Linked DNA regions of Caenorhabditis elegans. The protein of the gene in region 2 interacts with the protein of the main gene of each other region in a pairwise test. Each region holds a gene or a part of one and is shown on either strand. Other genes may lie near its edges.

What was found. The genes of interacting proteins can lie anywhere in the genome.
Region 1: the proteins of pak-1 (region 2) and nck-1 interact in a two-hybrid assay, tested with the Caenorhabditis elegans proteins (2 studies listed by BioGRID).

Annotation. Positions count from the first base shown.
Region 1 is NC_003284.9:4,148,145-4,155,295, reverse strand, and holds nck-1 (NCK (Non-Catalytic region of tyrosine Kinase) adaptor protein family), read left to right. Parts: upstream 1-1,852; 5' UTR 1,853-1,876; coding exon 1,877-1,993; intron 1,994-2,621; coding exon 2,622-2,753; intron 2,754-4,538; coding exon 4,539-4,616; intron 4,617-4,673; coding exon 4,674-4,988; intron 4,989-5,029; coding exon 5,030-5,200; intron 5,201-5,269; coding exon 5,270-5,455; intron 5,456-6,035; coding exon 6,036-6,230; 3' UTR 6,231-6,643; downstream 6,644-7,151.
Region 2 is NC_003284.9:6,043,806-6,050,343, reverse strand, and holds pak-1 (Serine/threonine-protein kinase pak-1), read left to right. Parts: upstream 1-1,739; 5' UTR 1,740-1,745; coding exon 1,746-1,826; intron 1,827-1,985; coding exon 1,986-2,064; intron 2,065-2,112; coding exon 2,113-2,219; intron 2,220-2,767; coding exon 2,768-2,915; intron 2,916-2,963; coding exon 2,964-3,178; intron 3,179-3,222; coding exon 3,223-3,315; exon of another isoform or gene 3,316-3,464; intron 3,465-3,581; coding exon 3,582-4,149; intron 4,150-4,199; coding exon 4,200-4,273; intron 4,274-4,327; coding exon 4,328-4,450; intron 4,451-5,062; coding exon 5,063-5,134; intron 5,135-5,291; coding exon 5,292-5,450; 3' UTR 5,451-6,035; downstream 6,036-6,538. UniProt on the Caenorhabditis elegans protein: Required for hypodermal cell fusion, together with cdc-42 and ced-10, leading to embryonic body elongation, which involves dramatic cytoskeletal reorganization.

The sequences.
Region 1 (7,151 bases), 1.9 Mb from region 2:
TGCTGCTAATACCCGCGCTGGTTGGTGACGGGGGGCCCCCCTAGATATTTATTCTCCGATGACCAGATTGCTAAGTGTCCCTTAAAGGATCATCTTGTTGTTATTTTCAATTCCCAAGTAAATCCTTCATCTATCCCCCCACAAACCATCTCGTCGTTCCAGTCTGAGATTTGAGCCAGATTCGCAAATTTTCCGCACATTATTTTGGCAATCCGTCTTCAATCTTTTCTCTCTTTTCTCCGCATTCCAATGCATTATTTCGGCCCCTGTTGGCCCCCATTCAAAACCGAAAATTCCCATCATTTGTCATTGACTCTTGTCCTGTCCGAAAATGTGTGTGTGTGTGTGTGTGTGTGTGTGTGTGTGTGCTACGAAGAAAACGATGGGGCTCTTCCAACAATTGTTGCCTACAATTGTCGGTTGTTTTTCCTCTGCTTTTTGTTTCTTTTTTTCTTCTTTTCTTCTTTTGCAAAATGGAGCATAGTCAATTACGTTTCTGGTTTGAAAAGGAAAATTCCAAAAAATTAAAATTTTAATATGAAAATCTGTATTTCTAAAATTACTTAATTGTGGAATTTAATACAATTTGGAGTCTCGTCAGTAAGAAATGTATTCAAACGCTCCTGTTGTTCTTTTTCTAAGTGTGGCAGTTTAATGTGTTGACTGAAATTTTAAAAATTCTAAAAATTCTAGGCCATATTGAACTACGATGGGTATTCTTTTTCGACAAGCAGGTATATTATAAGGCATTTTCTTTTATAATATAATTCAACCAAGTATCAAAAAATCAAAATTTAAATTAAAAACGGTATATAAGTATATAAGTTTGTAGGAGACCCTAAAAAAATTAATTTCAAATTAAAACTTTCATCATATTTCCAGAGCTTGAAAAAAGTTATTCTAGATTTGTAGGAAAAAGAGGTCTGAAAAATATATAACAACTTAACTTTAGCACTTTTGGGGGTAACATTAAATCCAGAAGTATCAATATATTTTCAATAAAGGCCTTACAATCCTAACTAAAACTTTCCCCATTTGCGTGATTTTCCCCATTTGGAAATGCTTACAGGCGCAAATAAAATTTGCCTGAAACCTGATTTTGCACTTTCAGAGGAAATGTGGGGTTTCCTATTGGTACTTTGGCTGGAAGTAATTATATGCCAAAGCCAGGCATCTGAATTATTTCCATTTTCCCATTGAGCCATTCGAAAGTGCACCCGTCTTGCTGAAAAATTCAAAGGCATCCTGACTCATAAGTACATCTGCCCAACTACTGCAGTTATTTTCTCGCTTGACGCCTTCTAACAAAATCCTGCTTACCTCGCCAACTTTTTATGACTATATTCATGTGTTTGCTAACTCCATAAAATAGTATTATTGAATAGGCAATGCTGCCCGCGTTATGCTACTTATTATTCACATCTCACCTTTTTCATTCTTCTTTTTTTGTCATACTTGATACGGCTGTGTGCTAATCTGAAAAAAAAAAGATTTTTGATACTAACTATAAGTTTAATATTTTTCATAACTTTCGAATCAATAAAAAAACTTTCCGGAACCCGTTCATGACACGCTTTGACCTACCAACATCCAACAGCCTAACTGACTTCTGAACAGATTGACATTGACCGATATATCCTAGAAAAATGTGGCGTACGTCGTCAGTGCGCCTTCTTTTTCTTTTTTCCGCTCACTAATGTTGATTTTATCAGGTGTAGGTGTAGTGAGGAGGTAGAATAGACGACGTCAATTACGAGTTGCGTATCCATCCCCTATTCATTTCATTTTCCCACTTGTTCTCCTCGGTTTTTTGCTATGGATTCGCAATTTTTCTCACCAAACCACTTTACAGGGTGTATTACATCGGACATTTGAAATGTCGGAGGACTATGTGGTCGTCAAATACGATTATTTAGCACAAGAGGAACAGGAGTTGACGATAAAAAAGAACGAACGGTTAAAGCTGTTAGATGATAGCAAAAACTGGTGGAAAGTGAGTTTTTATTGACGGAAAACATACTGAAACTAATGGTTAAATGTGAAAACAGTTTGATCCACTTTTCGAGAACTCTAAAACACTGTCGCATGTTCAATTCCCTGCTATATTGAAATTTTAATGTTTTAAGCATAATTAGAACATTAAAATAAGAGAAATTTATTTTAATCAACGACTTTTTGGGGAAATCTACATATTAGTAAGTTCTCACCACTTTTTGACTCGAAATAAAAATGTTCCAAAATTTTTTGAACAGTTTTCTATAATATTTGGTTATTTTAGCATCATATATAAATTTACAATTTTCTCTTTTCATTAAACATCCAGAAAAATTTATAATTTTTTCAAAATTTTCAGTCAACGTTTTGGTCGACCATATTTTGCACATTGACTGCACATTAAAATATTTCAAAAAACAATTCTGAAGAGTTTCATTATGATTGTTGGTCATTTTAGCAACATTTAAACAAAGCTTGCACTGACATTGCTCCACATCTCAAAAAAAAATCCTGGTACCAATTAGCAAAACTACTAATCAAAAAGTGTTCTACAAACCTTAATTTTTTTAAAAATAAATTGAGCCACTTAACGTTGTTTTCCCTCGGATCAAAACCGTTTTCTTCAGGTAATGAACGATTCAAACAGTGTTGGATTTGTGCCTTCAAACTACGTGCGAAAAGAATCAATTGTGGACAAAGCAAAAGGAACAATCAAGGGCTTAGCGCGAGGTCGCAACCGATCCTCAGATCCGGAGCCGGTGAGTGTTTCGTTTTGTTTTTTTTTGTTACAAAAACCCATCTCACTTCCAAAAAAAGCGCCAAACTGCCGCCACAACTAAACGAAACATAATCGACTGTAATGTCGCACTCTCAGTTTTTTTTTGTTTCCAAATGCCAAAACCAGTCTTCACGTGGAAGATTTGTATTTACACAAGCGCTTCCAGCCGAAAGCAACAGTTTGAATTAACTTCTAATTAGAATTGCCAACAGATACTTTATTTCTTTTAATTTTAAGGTACATTAAAACTAGTTTTGATATACTAACTTTCTTCCCAGAACATTCCAGTTTTGTTTCCTTATCATACAGCAAACAAAATCGATTTTTTGCTCCGTTTGTAATGCCATAAAAGTTTCTAGAATGATTTGTCATATTGGGGCAGGAATATTTCTCGTTGTCGGTTTTTTTATTGCAATTTTTATGAAACTAACTAATAGCATTTACAAATTTAAAGTTAATTATTTTAAATATTGTAGCTTCCATTAAAAATTGATATAATAGCCCAAATTCTAGTAAAAAATGATTTTGTCATCACCACAATAACTAATTGAGTGTTTTGCGCGTAAGATACTGCGCATCGTCTGAACTAACAAACTCTTCTTCCCCTGTTTTCCCAGGATTATTGATTGCTCGAGACCGTCCAAAAAGACCTCGCCGCGCGTTCTCCCGTTCTCCTCGCCGTTTTGACAGGTTCGTCTGTTTTTTGCGTTTTCCTTCCTCCACATAAAATACTTTTTTTGCTTTTCTTCTTCTCAATATCAAAACGGCACGCTCAATTTTTCGAATCATATTTTCGAATCGAAATATGCTGAACTTTGTGAGGCAAAAACTCCGTAATAAATGACCGAAACCGTTAATATTTGCATGTGTGTGCAAGCGGCGCATACTATCATTGCCCTGTTATCACACACACACACATACATACGGCTCTCCCGCGACAATGTATTCGGCGCAAATGAGACAGTCTCGGTATACAAGAGCGCGCGAAATTTCAACGCTTCCTATGTTTTTCCGTCTTGACGATACGTTTCAATCGCCTGAGGGCCCCTCCCGCTCTTCACCCCCTAACCAAAATCGTGTTTCGATGTGTGGGGCGCTGCATGCACATTGCCTACGAGCTCAACCGCTCACTTTGTTTGCATTTCTGACTGAAGGTAGCGGGTTGAGTCTGTGCTGCTGCTACTGGCCACGTAGCGCCTCCAAAAAAAAACTTGGAATTTCCGGCTTCATCAAATTTGTTTTTTTTTTCGCCGTTTAAGATCACGTTTCTAATTAAACTGTGAGCTTTCTAGGCGGGAAGAGCACTTCCTTATCGATTTTTCTCGTGCCATAAGACCTCCTTGCAATAAACATCTGCGTCGTCCCTCTAACTTGCCGAACTTAATACTTGTGTTAGAGCCCTACATTTTTTTTAAATAAATTTATTTGAAGTGAAAATTTTATTTTTGAATTTTGAGGCTTTTTGATTAGGATAGTATATTTTCTAATGTAAGCCAAAAAAAAAAGAGATTTCACATAACGATACACTATTTCTTTTGTGTTAGAACTCTACATTTTTTATAAAGTCAATTTATTTAAAGTGAAAATTTTATTTTTTTGGAAATTTTGGAAAATTGAAATTTTTTAGACTCCAGATGAACAAATTTCGTAATGAGAAAAATGGTTTTAAAATTTCTATGGCGCTTCAAAATTTTGAAAAAAAGCTCAATTTAAGCGAAAATCTCTAATTTTAGTACTTTTTTTGTTGTTGAAATTGATTTTTCAGGAGGAGCGATTAAACGGCATCGCGCGTCTAGCGTTCAGCTTGAATAACAACTGTGCGGTGACACCATCATCCAATAAGGTTTGACAGGCTTTTCAATCATAACTTATTTTAATCCGCCAACGTTTTTTTCTTCAGATTCCTATGATGAGCTCGAAAACGAAAGCTGTGGTGAAATTCACTTACGAGCCAAGACTTGAAGATGAGCTCGGTCTCACAAAAGGAGATTTCGTTTATGTCGTCGAGAAAAGCACAGATGGGTGGTGGAAGGGAGAAGCACCGAATGGAGGAGTCGGATGGTTCCCGTCAAACTATGTGGAGGAAGTTGAAGCTTCGACAAACGGAAATCAGGGAAGCATTGAGAACCGAAACCCAGCAGCTGCAGCAGTTCCAGCGCCCATAATGATGCAAGCACCACCGCCGAAGCTCCAGGCGTCACGGTCTTCATTTGAAGTAGGATTTACCCCAATGCAATTTAATAATCATTTTCATAGATTCAGGTCGTCGTTGCATTGTACTCGTTCGACGCATCATCATCTGAAGAACTATCGTTCAAAAAAGGAGAACGGCTCGAAATCGTGGATCATCCAGAACATGACCCCGATTGGTGGATGGCGCGCAACGCCAGTGGAACCACAGGGCTTGTGCCAAGAAATTACATTGAGGTAGTGCATTTAATCGCCTAAAAATTCCGAGAAAAATTGCCCGAATCTGAAACAATTAGAACATTTCAGGTGGTCAACGACTCATCATCCAGCAAAGCTTCACATCAAGATTTCGCACCGCAATATTCAGGAAACGGAGAAATTCCGATGGAGCAACAGCCGTGGTATTTTGGACGCATCTCGAGGGAACGTGCTGAAGATCTTCTACTACATGGTCGTGAGGGAGAGTTTCTGGTCAGAGATTCGGAGAGCAATGTGAGCATTTTTTGGAATTTTTCAAACGGTGTCTTTCCAAATAGTCGCAAGCTTTCAACCATTCCTAGCAACTTTAGAAATGCCAATTTCAGAAGTTGCAAAAGTTGGTTGAGAAGTTGTGGGATACTAAAGTTGTTCAAACAGTTGCCAAAGTTGGTGAAGTATAGTCACAAAGTTGCTAATATTGGTTTTAAAACTAAAATCGACGAATAAGGAGATTCAAGTTGTTTAAGAAGTTGTTAAATTTAGTTTTATTTTAAACTTAGTGCAAAAAAAATCCAAAAGAATGAAGGCTGGCAAGAGGCTACAATTAGTTTAAAAATGGCAGCAAATGACCGAGATACTACGAAATTAATTACCAAAATCAAGGACCGCAAAGGAAAAAAAAACGTTCTAGCGTTTGATTTGAACATTTTCACTCCAAACTATATATTACAGTTAATACGCTTTCATTCTGATCAGAATACAATCTAAATTAAAATCAATCTTCATTGACAGTATCCCATTTGAATATTGCTAGGAAGACAATACCAAAAATGGATATTTTCAACCATTTAATATTAAATTCAATTTTTTTCAGCCTGGAGACTTGTCGATCTCAATGCGCGGAATCGAACGCAACAAGCATTTCAAAGTGCAAAACGTGGATGGTCTCCTGAAAATTGGAAACCGAACGTTTGTGGACATGAATGCTCTTATCAATCACTACACAACCAGCCCAATTTTCTCGTCGCCAACGGAGAAGCTGTTTTTGACCGGTCCTCTTCCCAAGTAAACTACTTGTTCAAAATTTCAATGCAATATTCTTATAAGCTCATTCTTAACAATTGTTGTTTTCTTGTCTTCTTTGCAGCAATCCATTTTTTTTCTGGACAAAGCAAGTGAAAATCTCTTTCGTCATTTCTATCACTAGCCCTGTGTTTAGATATGTTTACTGATTTGCCATCCGCCGTTTTTGATAAATTGAACGGTTGATCACGGTTTCAGATATATTTCTCATTTTTTCTTTGGTTCTTTTTCTTTTCATTCAAGTTTGTAATTTTATCAAATAATTGTCCTTAACTCACACTTTCCATTCATCTCTTCTTCAATTGTCTTTTGCTCCACTTCACAACGCTGCGTTGTTTCAGAATATTATTTTCAATTCCAATTGCCATATGTGATAACTGTAAATGAATTTTCAAGTGGGCATATTTCAGATTTTTTTAATTGTTACAATTTTTCAGGTTTCAATTTTTGTACAACGCGATTTCCGGATGTGAAATGAAACATGACATTATTGAAGGTTTTTATAAATATTTTTTAGAGTATCCGAAATTCTTCACATTTTTGTTGTTAAAATTTTAAATTTATCATAAATTCAAAATTGGAGTTTTTTTGCCAATTATAATTTAAAAAATTGACCAAAAAAGCTTTTAACAATTTTTTACTTTGTAGCGGTCTGAAACTGTGGAAATGCTTTACATTTCTTAAATTTGCCAAAATTTTAATTAACACATTTTGAAATAAAACTTTTAAACAAATTTACCAACATTTTTCTAGCGGTTTAAATTTTTGAAAACAAGGTTAATAACTTTTATTTGATTGTGGTTTTAATTGTAAACTGGCAATTCATCTCAAATTATTTTGTGGTAGCAAACTTGTAAATTTGCAAACAAGCTAATTTGTTAATCGGCAAAAAAAATTGAAAATTAAT
Region 2 (6,538 bases):
GTTGTGTGTGTTCTTCTTCATTTGACCGCTATCGATTGATTTTATCTCCAACGACATCCTCCCCTCATCCGTCCGTTTTGCCCCTCCGCAGCTCTTTATCAATTGCCTTGGCCGCATCATCCGCGACCCACCGTACTAGTTATCTTTCTCTGTTTCCTCCATTCAATTGATAACACTAGAAAATGGCGCGCGTTCAACAAACACAGTGCCATTCTCCATTTCTAGCAAACAGTCCAGGTTTCGAACTGTTTTTTTTCTACATTGTGCAAAATGAGATTGGATTTCTTATCGACAGTGTAATAAAATCTTAGATACCTAGATTTTGTTTCTCATTTTTCTTTTTTTTTTTTCTTTCGGTTTTGTGATTTTCCTTTGGGTTTTTGCAGGTCTAGATTGTAAATATTCCCAAATTAACAGATTATGTAATGAGGATTCTCAAAAAATGTTCAACAATTTTTTATGGCGGTCTGAAATTTTAAAAACACCTAATTTTAATTAAAATTGGCTATTTTTTCATGTCTCAGCTGTTGGAAAATTTATTTTGAAGATTAGAATGTTTTTATTGCATATTGGTGATTTTCTTACATTATTTTGTTAATGAATGTACATTTAAAGCCCATACGTAATTGAAAATGGCCACAATCAACCCCCTATGATTTTTATGAGGTCTCATTATTAAATTTGTTCCTTTATGAACATTTTGAGTGCTTACAAGTAAAAACCCAAAACCGATACCCCTCCTTTAATCGAGAATAGTATTAGACCAAAAGTATCATCATTCACCGTTAGTATGAATGCAAACTTTTCAGCTTTTTTTCGGCTTTCACTTTCTAATTTCCTAAACTAGTTCTCAACATTGTCACTCACTCCGAACCTCGTTTCACAGTTTCTACTCTTTTCGGCTTCACACTTCTAGAACATTATCCGGCTGATTGCCACTTGGATGACAAGCGGGAAACAAGTACGCGAACACACGGTGGTGGGCGATAAAATGAAGTGAAACATGAATGACTCATATCATCACACTTTAAAAAAGATTCCCGTCTCTTCTTTTTCTCCTTTGAAAAATATTCCTTCTTCTTCCTCTGGCCCAGTTTATTCACCATCCATCATCTCCTAAACTTTGAAATCTTTCGTTTTGAAAACCAAAAAGCCATCTATCTTTTTCGGGTCAAACTCACGTCAGACGTTGGTTGCAGATAGGCTCTTTGAAGCAATAATGCAAATGAGAACTCCGAAGAAAAGGTCAAATTCTGGGTCCCACATTTTCCATAACTCCTACCCTGAGATTACTAAAAAAATATAGAAAAGCAATCCAATAGACGACCTCGAAAGGCGAAAGGGCCATGCTTTTTCGGTCCAAGATTACTCATAGCACTGGGTCAATGTCCTCTTTACACCATGTGTTGTGCATCCATTTCCCTGCCCGCTCCTATCAATTTCCTCTTTTGTTAGTCATAGTCCAACAATTTTTTTATAAGGGGGCGGTCAGCAATTTGTTCTTTCTTTTTCTGATTCTTTATTGTGATCGTTTTTCTATGTTTTTTTGACTCAACAAAACATGAATATTGGTTCCAATTTTCCTATTTTTCCAACAGTTTCGATTTCACTTGACAACGAAAATTCCTCCTAATTATTGTTTTCCTTTTTCAGTTTTACATTGCATACTGTATTCCTTCATTCTTTTTTGGTTTGATGCTTGTGTCTTCTTTTTCCAACAGTTTCAATTTTCCAGGCTTGCCAAAATGAAAGCTTTCTCATCGTATGATGAGAAACCACCAGCACCACCAATTCGTTTCAGCAGCTCGGCAACGAGGGAGAATCAGGTAATTAACTCGTCCCTCCACTCCTCCCCAAAGATGGGCGACAATCTTTCGAAGGTTCTTCTTCCAAATCAGATGATGCATGTGTTGCTTGCCCCTCTCCCACCCATCTCTATTTCTCTTTTTTCCATTCTCCATGTCTTGACTAACTCAATTTTTCAGGTCGTCGGATTGAAGCCATTGCCCAAAGAGCCAGAAGCAACCAAGAAAAAGAAGACGATGCCTAACCCGTTCATGAAAAGTAATATATTGCTCTTGTAACCATTCCTGATTTTCCTGTTTTTTTCAGAGAACAAAGACAAAAAGGAAGCGTCAGAAAAACCAGTGATCTCTCGACCGAGCAATTTCGAACACACAATTCATGTCGGATATGACCCAAAAACCGGCGAATTTACGGTCAGTATTTTTTCAAAAAGTTTTTGTAGCAGTTTTCCCACTCTTGCGTTACTTGCAAGATTATTTTCCAATGATGAACGAGTGATACAGCTGTCATTCTGACACCGGTCGCAACCGCTAATCGTACCAGATTAACGTGAATGCTAATAGTAAGCTAAAAACTAAAAACTACTACTTTTACTTTTTCCCTCAGTCAAAAAATCATTATAAACAAATCTCAATTTATAATAATATTTTGCAACCGTTAATTCAGTGCATTATCTTCTAAAAACGTGTTATTCTTGAAACCATGGTTAGTGTTAATAAAGCTTGCGTTTTTGAGACGTTTTAAGAAAACAAATCCATACGAGAAAAATTTAAGTGAAGCCAATTATCACGAACATGTATTCAACCAAAGATAGTTTCTTCTAAAGACCTATGAAATTGTCCCAATTTTTTTAGTATGAAGAGGTCTGTTTTGTCGAATAGACTTGAGAAACTACTGTAGAATCTTATTTATAAACTTTTCTCAGAAACTTTTGCTCCTTATCAACAATATAAATTTTCAGGGAATGCCTGAAGCATGGGCACGTCTTCTCACAGACTCACAGATCTCAAAACAAGAGCAGCAACAGAATCCTCAGGCAGTGTTGGACGCGCTCAAATACTACACACAAGGCGAAAGCAGCGGCCAGAAGTGGTTGCAGTACGATATGAGTAAGTAACCCGTAGTCAGTCTTGCTAATGGAGCTCATTCTTCTACAGTGTTTATAGATGACGCACCTTCTCGGACGCCATCATACGGACTGAAACCGCAACCATATAGCACATCATCCCTGCCGTATCATGGCAATAAAATTCAGGATCCAAGAAAGATGAATCCAATGACAACCAGTACAAGTAGTGCGGGGTATAACAGCAAGCAAGGAGTTCCTCCGACGACGTTTAGTGTAAATGAGAATAGATCGAGTATGCCACCGGTAAGTGGGAAGAATAATCTTGAAGTTCATATTGATTGCTTCAGAGTTATGCACCGCCACCGGTCCCCCATGGTGAAACTCCTGCTGATATTGTTCCTCCCGCTATCCCTGATAGGCCGGCAAGGACGTTGAGTATTGTGAGTAGAATTTTTGGTACTTGTGTATTACATGCCCTTAGTTTTAGAGTATTTTTTTAAGTTAAAAACAATAAAAACGTGTACCACATTTTTTATTTCTAGGTTTAGGAAATAATCTTTCTAAGCCTGGAGAGGAAAAATGTATATCACGTTTAAATTATATGGAGAAATGAATGAAAATTTAATTCAATTTCAAAATGAGGGCATGTAATACACAAGTACCGAATTTTTCCCAAGTTCTCTATAACATATAAGTATATTTTCAGTACACAAAACCGAAAGAGGAGGAAGAAAAAATTCCAGACCTTTCAAAAGGACAATTTGGTGTACAGGCCAGAGGTCAAAAAGCTAAGAAAAAGATGACTGACGCTGAAGTGCTGACTAAGCTCCGTACCATTGTGTCTATCGGAAATCCAGATCGAAAATATAGAAAAGTTGATAAAATCGGCTCAGGTGCATCTGGTTCTGTGTACACCGCTATTGAAATTAGTACCGAAGCGGAGGTGGCTATCAAGCAGATGAACCTGAAGGATCAACCAAAGAAGGAATTGATCATTAATGAGATTTTGGTGATGCGTGAGAATAAGCATGCAAATATTGTAAATTATTTGGATTCGTATTTGGTGTGCGATGAATTATGGGTAGTGATGGAGTATCTTGCCGGTGGATCATTGACTGATGTTGTCACGGAGTGCCAGATGGAGGATGGAATTATTGCAGCTGTTTGCAGAGAAGTTCTTCAAGCGCTTGAATTCCTCCACAGCCGCCACGTCATTCACAGAGATATTAAATCTGACAATATTCTTTTGGGAATGGATGGTTCGGTGAAATTGAGTAAGATTATAATTTTTAATGCTTTTGCAACCTACTTCTGTGAATTTCAGCCGACTTTGGATTCTGTGCTCAGCTCTCGCCGGAGCAAAGAAAACGCACGACAATGGTCGGAACTCCATACTGGGTGAGTGATGGAAATTGAAAAAGCGAATAGGAAATTAATGTTTGACAATTGCAGATGGCGCCGGAAGTGGTGACCCGCAAACAATACGGACCCAAGGTTGATGTGTGGTCCTTGGGAATCATGGCGATTGAGATGGTCGAAGGAGAACCGCCATATTTGAATGAAAATCCACTCAGGGTATGAAATATTTGCTTTTTTGAATTTAAGAAGACAACGCTTGATAATTGAAAAAAAAAACATGAATCTGAATATATGATTCCTTTCAATAACACTTGTGCTCGCAGAGTGTGAATGAGAAATGGAAATTTGTTGTTACAGCGATAAATTTGTTGCTTAATGAATTTCAAAAAAATCTAATTGGCCACTATTCCCTAGTAAGAATAGCAACCCCAGTTTTGCCCATAACGATCAGAAAATAATTTGGTTCAGGTTGAGGTCATGTTATTGAACAGGCGCCTAAGAAAAAATTTAGCAGAAACTTTACATTTTTCCGTAACTTCTCAGCTAACTTTAGCAACCAATCTCAAAAGTTGCAATAGTTGGGTAAAGTTGGTAAAAGTTAGGGATGACCCCCACCGCAAGATACAGATGTGCATTGAGAACTACCGAAAGCTGGGTAAACTTTGTTGAAAAATCGCTTAAGTTGAGAAGATTGAGACGTTGTTGAGAAGTTGCTGTAAAATGACGAGAAAGTTAAAGTTAAAGTTGTTTCAGCTATACTTAGGTTTTATAATTTTAGCTTAAAATTTCTCATCAATCAATATTGATCTTAAAAATATTTTTTTTCAGGCTATCTATCTCATTGCTACAAATGGCAAACCCGACTTCCCTGGAAGAGATTCCATGACTTTGTTGTTCAAGGTAAGAGAACTCGAGAACTTTCGAAACAGAAGATTTGATAAAAAAAATATTTGTTAACAGTTAGTCACAAATGTACAAAAGATGACTCAACTGCTACCGCAGTTTTACTTTACTTTCAGTACAGTATCAATTTCTCCCATTCTGTCCCAATTTCCAGGACTTTGTCGACTCTGCGTTGGAAGTACAAGTTGAAAATCGATGGTCGGCAAGCCAACTCCTTACGCATCCATTCCTCCGATGCGCCAAACCGCTTGCTTCACTGTACTACTTAATCGTTGCGGCGAAGAAGAGCATCGCCGAAGCTAGCAACTCATAATTATGATGATTGTATTCTCAATACACGACGTGTATTTCTTGTTCTTCTCAAATCTCAAGTCGTACTTACTTTGAAACTGTTTTCTTTTCTCTCCATCTCAAGTCATTTCTAACTATCTACTTTGAGCCCAACTTACCGTTTCCCAACAAAAAAGTCACACCTTAGTAATTTGTGTAATGTTTTCTGGAATCGATCACGAGTAAAAATTCAAGCCCCTTCATTATTTCACATCTTCCCCCTCTTTATCTCTTCTCGCAATGCACAATTTGGACTATCTCTTTTTTCTTGTTGTTGAGCGTTCCCAATCAGACGACACACTTCAATTATTTATGTAAGTTTTTTGTCTTCACTTTGTCTTCTTTTCATTCGGTTTCTTGCATTTGTGTCGTTCGAACGGAAATCTACAGTTAACCAGCTTTGCCCAAATTTCCCTATTTCTTTTTCAAGTGTCTGTAGGTGGGAACTATTGAAACTCTGTTTTCATGTGGTTTCCAATTTAAAAATCGGCCATAAGGTCAAAATCTTAAATTTTGTCTCATGACGTTTGAAACAATTGATCATGTTTAATAAAAGAGAGATGAATTTACTTATAGAATCAGAAAAGTTTTCAAAATAGTCAAATTTTGTTCAAGGAAATTGTACTATTTTCTTTTGAAAAATTATTTATTATTATTCCTGACCAGGTACATGGTATAAGGTAGTTTACCTCAAAAATTAGAAATGATAAATAGTTCATTTGAATGATTATGTTTAGACTATATATTTTATTCTAGAAATAGTTATTCTAGTAATTGCAGCAGCACAACTCAACTCCCACCACCACAATTTAGGTATATCTGAACTTTGTTGAGAGCAACTGTGCTAAAGGACACAAAAGTTACTCCAGAGGCTGATAATGTTGTCAGGCTGATTATTGATAATTTTAAAGGTTTTCAAGAACACGCACAACATATTTTAGCAAAACTTAAAAAATCAAGTCACATAACAAGTTGAATATGTGAATAATCCCTGTGAGTATTCTGGAACTATATTTTTCACCATAATAGTGATTGAAAGTTTCAGGAGCTTACAAATGTTTCATAGTGCTA